Arabidopsis thaliana: one gene and its partner. The protein of the gene in region 1 interacts with the protein of each later gene in a pairwise test. Each region holds a gene or a part of one and is shown on either strand. Other genes may lie near its edges.

Region 1 (4,926 bases):
CAGTGAGTTCGTTTTGGAGTTCAGAGCTGATCGTTACAAGTGTGCGGTAAGCGAATGCGGCCTAATCCAACTCTTTTAAATCCCTTTATGTCCATGAGCTTCAGAGGTCAGTGGAGGCTGTTATTTTGCAGTCTTTGAGATTTGAGACAAACACTAGACTGAAGTTAGGGCATGACAAGAGCTGAAATACATTAATGCTATATGATGAAACATTTTCTTTTAAAGTTGGGTCGATTTGACAAGTTTGGTGTGCATGTTGTGTGGTGTCACTTAGTATGATTATCATTACTATATATGTGATGTTGGTAATATGTATAATTTATCAATTAAGTCACAGTATACATCTATGTGTTTATATGTAGATATTACAGCGAAGCTAACATTGTATGAAAAGTATTTGTATATGTTTGTATACGCATATTACTTCATTCCTCGAGTGCATTTTGATCTTGTTGCCAACCTCTGGTCTTCTTTATCTTCTTTAATCCTTGGTCTCTCTATTAGCATATCTTACAATTAAACCTCTATTAACAATGATATTGTCTGCAGAACCATATCGAAATAAAGGATCTTGTAAATCTAAATTGCAGGACCAGTACGAGTCAAAATCCCCGTAAGTGACTTCTTCATTTTCACTTGCACTCTTATTTAGTTTATCGTGACTGGGAAGACAGATGATTTGTACTCAAGCAATGCAGGGAAGAGAAACTGGTTCTTTCACAAATTATTTATCGGGGTTTTGGTTCTATTGATTGTGTGAAGACTCGTTTCGTTTGTAGGAGTTGCAAGCCCTTTTGGAGGGATTTTCCTATAGTCATTAGCAATGGTCAGAACATTCTTGATGCTATACTCAAAACTCCAATGCCAAGCATCAATCAGTAAAAGCTTTTCCCTTCAGCATAGTAAACTCGCACATCGCTCGATGTTTGATTATTTAAAATTACGTAGATAATGTGGTCAAAGGCCTGGATACGATCGGTGGGGTTGTTGAACAAGGACTCATTATTAAAAAAAAACGGTTAGCTTCTACGGAAGTTTTAGATCAAGCGATCGGGATTTGCATGTTTAGTTGCATGTTTAGGAGGGTGGGTGTCTGATCCAGTGTAAGACTACCGTAAGATATTTGTTACGTACATAACCAGCAACATAGCCTAATATATGTTGAGAACCGAATTGCCAGTCAAAACCATTGAGAGCCTCTTTTACAAGTAATACATTCAAGTTCATGGAGCAAGGTTGTAACTCCTACAAGTTCACTATTTCTAAAATCAGTTGCTTTTTCCACGAGAAATCACCAATATGAACTCATCAATTCTCTGAGCTTCACGGAGAAAAACGCTACGACTAGCCGAGGGGTAACTCAATCATGTGGATGTTGCTTTCGTTGTAGATGAAGTGACTCCTACAATCCAGATCGAGAAAATTGTACTTAGCAGATCTTTCTAACAGAGATATTAAAAAAAAAAAATCATCCAATATCATATGCCAACAGAGAGCAAGGGCAAAAAGATGTATCCACAAGTTCTTCCAATATAGCTAATGAACCCTACAACATCTACAGCTTTCCAAAACAAAATTCACGAACAAACCTTAAACAAGGATCATAAAGGTTCTACTAGTTGGGAAGATATTAAACACGTTTAAAAGTGAACTGAGAAGTTCATCATGAGTTATTCATGCTTCTAAAAGTGTAATAAGGGTTTTTCAAACTCATTAGAACAACAGGCAAGAGAGTTTCTGAGTGTAAGTTACAGGATTCACAATGTGATGATTCTAGAATGCTTTATAGTAACAAACCTTTTAAAGTGATCATACTCTTAAGGAAACATAAGAAGAAAAGCAACTGACAACAAAGCACTCATCAACAACCTAGAAACTGTGCAAGCTAAGACAGTCATGAGCAGACTACTACTCACAACACATGCCCAAGCTAATCAAGACAAGTTCAATTCCACACAAATCACACATGGCCAAGCAGACTAGAAATTGCTGATAAATTATAAAGGCTAATTAAGTAGAATTTCTGTGTAAGTTATCAGTTCAAGTTACAAGAAAGTTTTTGTGTAAGTTAAAGGTTTCACAAATAAACTATCAGCAGACTAGTAGAGACTGCAGCTAACTTATGATTTATAAACTTCAGTCACTACACAAGTCCAAGCTAAATCAAAATAAGTTCAATTTCAACCAAATCTCACATCATAGCCAAGCTACACTTACAAGCAACCATCAGCAGATAATAAAGGATAATCAAGTAGTGTTCCAAAACTTGATAAACAGCTACCTAATCAATGTTGCTGATTATGGTGATTTGGCGGAGCAGGTGGCATGCCAGGATGAGGCGGAGCAAACATCGGAGCACCACCGGGGGGAGGCATTCCAGGGCGAGAAGGAGGCGGTCCTTGCATACCATGAGGTGGAGGAGGTCCTCTCATCATACCACCAGGTGGAGGAATCATCATTGGCCTTTGCTGTCCACCATACTGAGGCGGTGGTGGACCAGGATACGGTGGTCTCATACCATAAGGTGGAGGAGGACCTCCTTGACCAGCAAAAGGAGGCTGTGGTGGCATTTGTCCCGGAGGACGAATAATCTGTGGTGGTCTAGAGATCTGAGGCTGCATCATTCCAGGAGCAGGTCCACCAATTCCACGAACAGGACCAGATAAACCAGGCTGAGCTTGAACCAATGGACCAGTAGGTACTCCACGTCCAGCAGCACGACCGATTCCGGGACCAGCCACAGCGGTTACAGATCCAGATTTGGCGCGAGATTCTTCAGGTGGCGGTGGACCTTCGACAGTCATCGAAATCACTTCTTCTCCTCTAAGTAAAACCAAACCAAGCGTACGACGCTCTTCTCTTTCTTCGTTCGTCTTCTTATTACCTTTCGCCGGAGGAAGTTTTCGAAACTCTTCGCAGTCGCCAAGAACAAGATTCATGTGGCGATCGAACGCCATGAATTTTCCGATTAGCTGTCTTCCGTCTTGGATTGTTACTCGCATCCTGTAGTTTATGAACTGAAGCATCTTGGAGCTCTTCGACATCGACATTTTTGCCGGCGACTTGTATACGCCGGAGAATTAAGCGAAGAGTTTTGGCAGTGGAATTGGGGAAGAGGGGGAATTTCTACGGTTTTATTCGAGAAAGAATGAATGACACTTTCCTTCTTGTTGGGCTTTGTTTCAATTTGGGCCTAGTTAGAATGGGTTAGGCTATACATAACATAGGTGTATTGCCTTTTTTTTTTTTTCACCATTTGTCAAATTAATTTATATAGTATAGTTTTGTAAATTTATTATTATTCATTGAAAAAACTTTAATGATTTCTTTTTGTCTAAGAGCGAAAAAATTATTATTATTCTCTTTAAACTTTTATTAAATCGTTGAATCTCCGAGATATTGTACATAGAGTATTGTCTTTAGATTCAAGAGACCATTTTTGCTGTAGAATAAAAAAAAAGGGAGAAACGAACAAAAGATCTACCAACACCGAAGGATTAATATTAACTGGATTTATTGGATTAAACTCTGAATTATTTCGGTTATACATATATCATCTCCTCTCATCGATAGTAAAGTAATAAATATTTCTCATAGAGGTGTGTGGCTGTGGACTATCTTTTAATTTTAGAAACTGCTCACTCAATCAAAATAAGAAACTGCCTGTTATTAAATTACCTAATAAAGATTTGAAAAACGTTTCATAAAGACAAATTCAATTAGTACCACCATAGTTCATTTCTTCCCCTATAAATAAATTTGATCTTAGTATTGTTTATCACTCAACAACAAACACGAGAAAGAATTATATATTGGAATATTTCAAACATTTTTTTTTTTTATTATGGCTATAAAAAACGTGATCTTATTTCTAGCGGTTTTATGCATTGCATTGTCTGTAAATGCCCAATTACCACAATTTCCGGCACTTTTTCCTTTTCCATTTCCATTTCTACCGAGTCCCGGTGTACCAGGATTACCTGATATAACAAAATGTTTATCATCTGTGATAAATATTCCAGGGTGCATCGTAGAGTTTTCGCAATCCATACTCTTAGAAAAGTTCGGCAAGATAGGTTCAGCTTGTTGCAAAGCAATTTTGGAAGCCGAAACCAATTGTATTCCGCAACTTCCGTTCAATCCGTTTTTTCCTCCTATGCTAAAGGAACAATGTTCAAAAACTGTTGGCGGAGCCTCCTACTAAAAATTAGAACTTAGAAACCAATAATGTTAACCTTTGCTTTCTTTTTTTTCTTTTTTTTTTCTTTTACTTTGTTTAAGTTGGAAAATACGATTAGGTTTCCGATTTGTATCAAAATTTTTCAACGATATAATAACATCATTAATAACTGGTCACTTTTTCCTCATTTTTACTTAACAGTTGTCTATAACATTTTTAACTAAATTGCACATTTGGATTAGTATGTTTTTCACATCTCATATCTTGGTTGTTTTTGATTCCTATAAATGATTTACGAAGGAGCTATGCACTAACCAGTGACCTCTCATATAAAAAATTCAATACTAAATATTATGAAAAAACCTATGTTGATCGATGCTAATCTAATCGGCCAATGCGCTCACAAAAGAATGCATTGGCTTGTTACACCTAGATGGCTGCAATAGCAACATCAAAGCCAACAGAAAGAGAGTGTCCGCTCGGACGGCCATATGGACATGGTCATGACCAAATGACAGCCCTACTCATAGATTACCTCCCAGATGGTTCTAACAGATAGGCGTCATCCGCTGCCAAACTACACCTCTCATTTTCCCCACCGCAAGACCCGGCTGGAGAACCAAACCACTTGAGGCAGAATCACAATCTTTGAATCTTCCAAATTATTAGTCACCTTTTACTTTAAATAAAAATTTCACTCATAACATCAAAATGTAGTTCCAACAAAAATCAAAATCCAAGTCCAA
Region 2 (4,483 bases), 7.1 Mb from region 1:
ATGATTATGCTCATCTCATCTTTTATATTGCCTTCAGAATCACTAGAGCTTGTTGTTGGAACCACTCCCTTAGTTCATTTGCTCTATTAAACCTAGGATTTAGGTCTTAGAATTTGTGATTGTGCTCAATACTGTTTTATACTCTGTCACTGCAAGTGTCTTCACATTTGCTGAAACTCTCTTAACTATTGGTATTGTAAACAGGAACCAACACATGGGACAGATTCGAGCTTAGGGTACACAAGCGAGTTATAGATCTTTTCAGCTCTCCTGATGTGGTCAAGCAGATCACCTCCATCACCATTGAACCTGGTGTTGAAGTTGAGGTCACCATCGCTGACTCGTAGATCAACCCTTCTGTGGCTTTGGTATCTCTTTTCAAATTCTCTTAAGAAACAATCTTCTTTTCCCGTAACGACATTCCTTTTGAGTTAAAAAAAAAACAAATGTTTTGTTGTAGTGAAACCCAAGTTCTTATGTTTTCTTAATTTAATAGATTTTGAATTTTTTAATTAGAAGTTCGTCCTTTATTCTTAACTTGAGATCTTTTGACCCTCTCGATGACATAACTCTGTATGAAGTTACCAACTTGCTATCTCATTTCAAATTGAGAGATCTATTACGAGAAAGATTAAAGTTTAATCAGCCATAAATTGAAAAGCTAAGTATCACGAACATAATACTTTATCGTTGAACATAATACAACTCTTTCATCGTTAAAATAACACAACTACTATGTTTTCGAGTACAATTGTGAAGAGTCTAGTGATCTTTGGTCTCACTTTCATGAACCATCTCTTCAGCATCCTCAAACCTCTGATCATTGATTTGGAGCTGCAGTGTGAATACAAAAGGCAGATGAAACCACGCTCAATTTTTTAAAAACAAAAAAAGAGGAAAAATTGAAAGCAGAGTTTTGTAACTTTGTATTACCTCAAGCATAGGCTGATTAAGACCTTCATCTCCATTGGAATGACCAATTACACTAGTCGGACTCTGAGATATTTGCCACTCTGCATCATCATCTGTTGCAAACACATAGAAAACCATCACATTTCATTCGTACCATTCAAGATGAATACATTAACACACTCTTTAATTCGGTCTAAGTCATATGAAAACATTAATTACCTCCTCCACGAACATCCATCTGATCAGCACTAAACACCCAATTATGTCCGCTTTCTTCTTCTTCTTCTGAAAGATGCAATGAAACCAAAGATATAAATGGCTAGGTAACCAAAAAATGCAATTAGTGATACTATTAAACCAGTAATTATATGTTTTACCTTGAACTGGTTCAGGATTCAGCTCAGCACACTCGCAGAATACATCAAACAGCGTCTCCACTTTCATATGACAAGACAAAACGATATATCAGCTTAATAATATCCAAGACTCTTATATAATGAAACAGCCGATTCTAATAGCTCTAAAGATTGCTACATAACAACTCACACTGGGTAGAGTCAGAAGGAACAAGCCTCATCTCTCTGATCTTTGATAAGTCCAAAACTTCAGTGGATTCTGAATCAGACTCATCATCCTCATCTTCTTCAACTTCAATCTTCAAAACATTAAACCAAAAACTTAGCAAAATGAGAACAGAAAAGACTTAATCACACCTCTCAAATCCAATTAAAACGTGTAAGCCACTTTCTCAAATTCCAGCAAGCACTTGCAACAAGCAACATTACAGTACAGGCCTAAGAACTAATCACAATCAACGAGAACAACACTAATTCCCTTTTAAGCTACCAAGTCTAACAAAACCCAGAAAAATTGCAAGAGTTGAATACCTGAGTATATATACAAGGAGATGAATAAGCCTCAGGATCTCTAGAAACAGCGTGAAGCGATATTGATAAGAAATCAACTGCGTATCCTTTAGCCATGTCTACATCGCTCAGCCAAATTAATTTCCTGAAATCAAATCACAAAATTAAGCTAAGACATTTATCTCAATCGAGAAGGACTAGATTTTGAGTTAATTTTTGTACCTGGAAGTGATGTAGAGAGTTCCGGGAGACTCAATGGGACGGTTTCCGAGAGCGACGGCGACGGAAGTCTGAACGTGCATAAGTTCCTCGCCGTTAGATTCATCCAGTACCGGTTTCCCGGAGCCATCTTCGGTTCTGAGCGTGAAATCTCTTAGACCAGCCACCATTTTTTCCGATCACAAAGAAAGAATCGTCAAAAAAAACAGAGATTTTCAGGCAGGGTTTTTCTTAGGGTTTCTCAGAGGAATGATTTGTTACGTTTACTGATGAAGAACACTACAAGGCTTTTGACAAAATGGGCTTCGTTAAAAAAGCCCATACTACATTAAAACATAAGCCCACTAAACTATTGAGATCAGATAAGTCTCTCTGGTGGTCCATTTCCCTTGAACCTTTTTTGTTACTTTGTGTGAATGTAATGTTTGGTTGTTGATTAATGTTGTTTCGAATAAATTTTGTTATGTAAATATATTTATGGGTGAAAAATGTCGTTGTCTTTGAGAGTGATGAGGTGTGGGAGATGATGGATAAGGAAGAGATGGGGGTGGTCATTCATGGGGATAGGGGAAGGTTATGGGACATATAGAGATTGTGACAATGCTTTATATTAATGAACGGATCATTGTCAACAACGACTCTTCTCTTCAAATTGTTATCTATTTTCTTAACGGAGATGTCGGTTGATAAAAATAATATACATTCATTACGAGTTGTCTACTTCGAAGAAGGAGTTTATTTGGTGCCTCCCAGCTATGTGCACAAGCCTAGTTGAATTCAATGACTTATAAGTTTAGGTCGATGAGAATTTGGATCATATATCTAAAAGTACTGTAGAAGATTATGTTTTACCTTTGGGCATAGATTTGATTCAATGAGAAATGGAACGACCAAAAGTCGAAAGAATCGGACCAAAGTAAAACCATTCCTTAGAGATGATGAACTTCATTATATAGTGAATTCCAAGACAATGATTAACAAAATCACATAAGAATTAATTAGATTTTGGTAGTTCATCTTCAATATAAGAACTACGTTAATTTTTCGTCTTTACGGATTTCACTATATATTAATCTTCTTGGTTTTATAATAAAGGTAACGGTGATGAAAAAAAGAAGAAGATCTTTTTAAAATACAATTTTAAGGCAAACGAATACATGTCTGAAGACCCTATATACTATTACTAATATCTGTTTGACGTGCTTGTCGGTTTTAAATAGTGTCAACAAAAAAAATTAGACTCAACAACTCAATAATATACGTTTTTTTTTGTCAATTCTCAATAATATACGTCTACATCTATTTTGAGAATCTGTATAAGACAGCTAAATACATATGCTTACTTTAATGTTTCATTATATTAGTTTCAGATGCCATCTCTCATGCATGCATGTGCATTTTTTGAATATCTTATTTGCTAAACATCCAAAATCTGAAGAATAACAATGCGTGTACATATGCTCAAGAAAAGACAAAAAAAAAAAAAAAAAAAATCCAAAATCAGAGAGAAGTTTAAACCAAAACACATCATTTCATATTTACACTTACAAAAAAAGTCATTTACTCGAAAAACATAGACTTTTTCACTCTTCTCACCACACAAAATACTCCAAAGCCAATCAAAACTCTCTTAATATAATTACTTATACAAAATAACTAATCATCTTCTTAATTACTACTTTCACTCGTCTGAACCATCACAGAGGTGATCATCTTTGCTCTAACGTACCCAATAATCTATAAGATTTGAATTTAAGCTTCAATAATGGCTTCTCCTCGGGGAACCCTAACCCTAAACACATGTTCCTCTCCAGTGCACTTATCAACCTTCACCACCCAACGACTCTTCCTCATCACTTGGTCACGATGGTGATTTTTCATCATCATCTTCTGATTATCATTGACCCTCGTCACAAGTAACCCTTCTCCTATAGGTAAAAACTGCGTTTTCCTTCCATCGCTAAACCTCCATGACCCTCTCGAAAACGCGTTATAACCCACCACAACCGCCACACCGCTTCCACCCCCGGTTCTTGCGTTTTCTTCGTGATGATTAAGGATTTTTCCAACGATCTCTTGGTGGTTTTCGAGGTTACAATCCACGAGGACGAAATCTGCTTCTCCGAAATGATTATTGATTAGAGTGTCGTCGTTAGATTCTCCGACTACGAATTGTATCTGATGAATCTCTGATGGTTCCAACATTTTTTGGGATATGATTAGTTCTTCGATACCACGTAAAACGCATACAACTTGACCACGCGTTTGGTTAGCCGCTGCGATTAGTGCAACGAGTATGTCGGCGTTTGCTGCTCCGGCGCAAGCCACGGCTATCTTTCTAGCGCTATTTCCGGCGGCTAGGGCTGATATGAATTCGGCGACGTTTGGTTCTTTTGTCCTTTGATCCTGAAAATGCATATAGAGAAATATGTCAAAATGTGACATTAACTAATCTTTTATCGTAATTTGAAACAATATCACGGGTA

The links.
Region 2: the proteins of AT5G44500 (region 1) and AT5G62290 interact in a two-hybrid assay, tested with the Arabidopsis thaliana proteins (one large-scale study listed by BioGRID).

Annotation. Positions count from the first base shown.
Region 1 is NC_003076.8:17,925,629-17,930,554, reverse strand, and holds AT5G44500 (Small nuclear ribonucleoprotein family protein), read right to left. Parts: upstream 3,109-4,926; 5' UTR 3,051-3,108; coding exon 2,286-3,050; 3' UTR 2,282-2,285; exon of another isoform or gene 1,403-2,281; 3' UTR 883-1,402; coding exon of another isoform or gene 763-882; 3' UTR 720-762; downstream 1-719. Other genes in the region: TAO1 (target of AVRB operation1), read left to right, coding at 1-46, 226-273, 591-613, 780-882; AT5G44495 (ECA1 gametogenesis related family protein), read left to right, coding at 3,845-4,204; AT5G44490 (FBD, F-box, Skp2-like and Leucine Rich Repeat domains containing protein), read right to left, coding at 4,712-4,791.
Region 2 is NC_003076.8:25,017,252-25,021,734, reverse strand, and holds AT5G62290 (nucleotide-sensitive chloride conductance regulator (ICln) family protein), read right to left. Parts: upstream 2,561-4,483; 5' UTR 2,168-2,560; coding exon 2,001-2,167; intron 1,924-2,000; coding exon 1,800-1,923; intron 1,568-1,799; coding exon 1,459-1,567; intron 1,350-1,458; coding exon 1,290-1,349; intron 1,198-1,289; coding exon 1,132-1,197; intron 1,026-1,131; coding exon 934-1,025; intron 835-933; coding exon 763-834; 3' UTR 604-762; downstream 1-603. Other genes in the region: AT5G62300 (Ribosomal protein S10p/S20e family protein), read left to right, coding at 205-347; AT5G62280 (DUF1442 family protein (DUF1442)), read right to left, coding at 3,750-4,403. UniProt on the Arabidopsis thaliana protein: May participate in cellular volume control by activation of a swelling-induced chloride conductance pathway.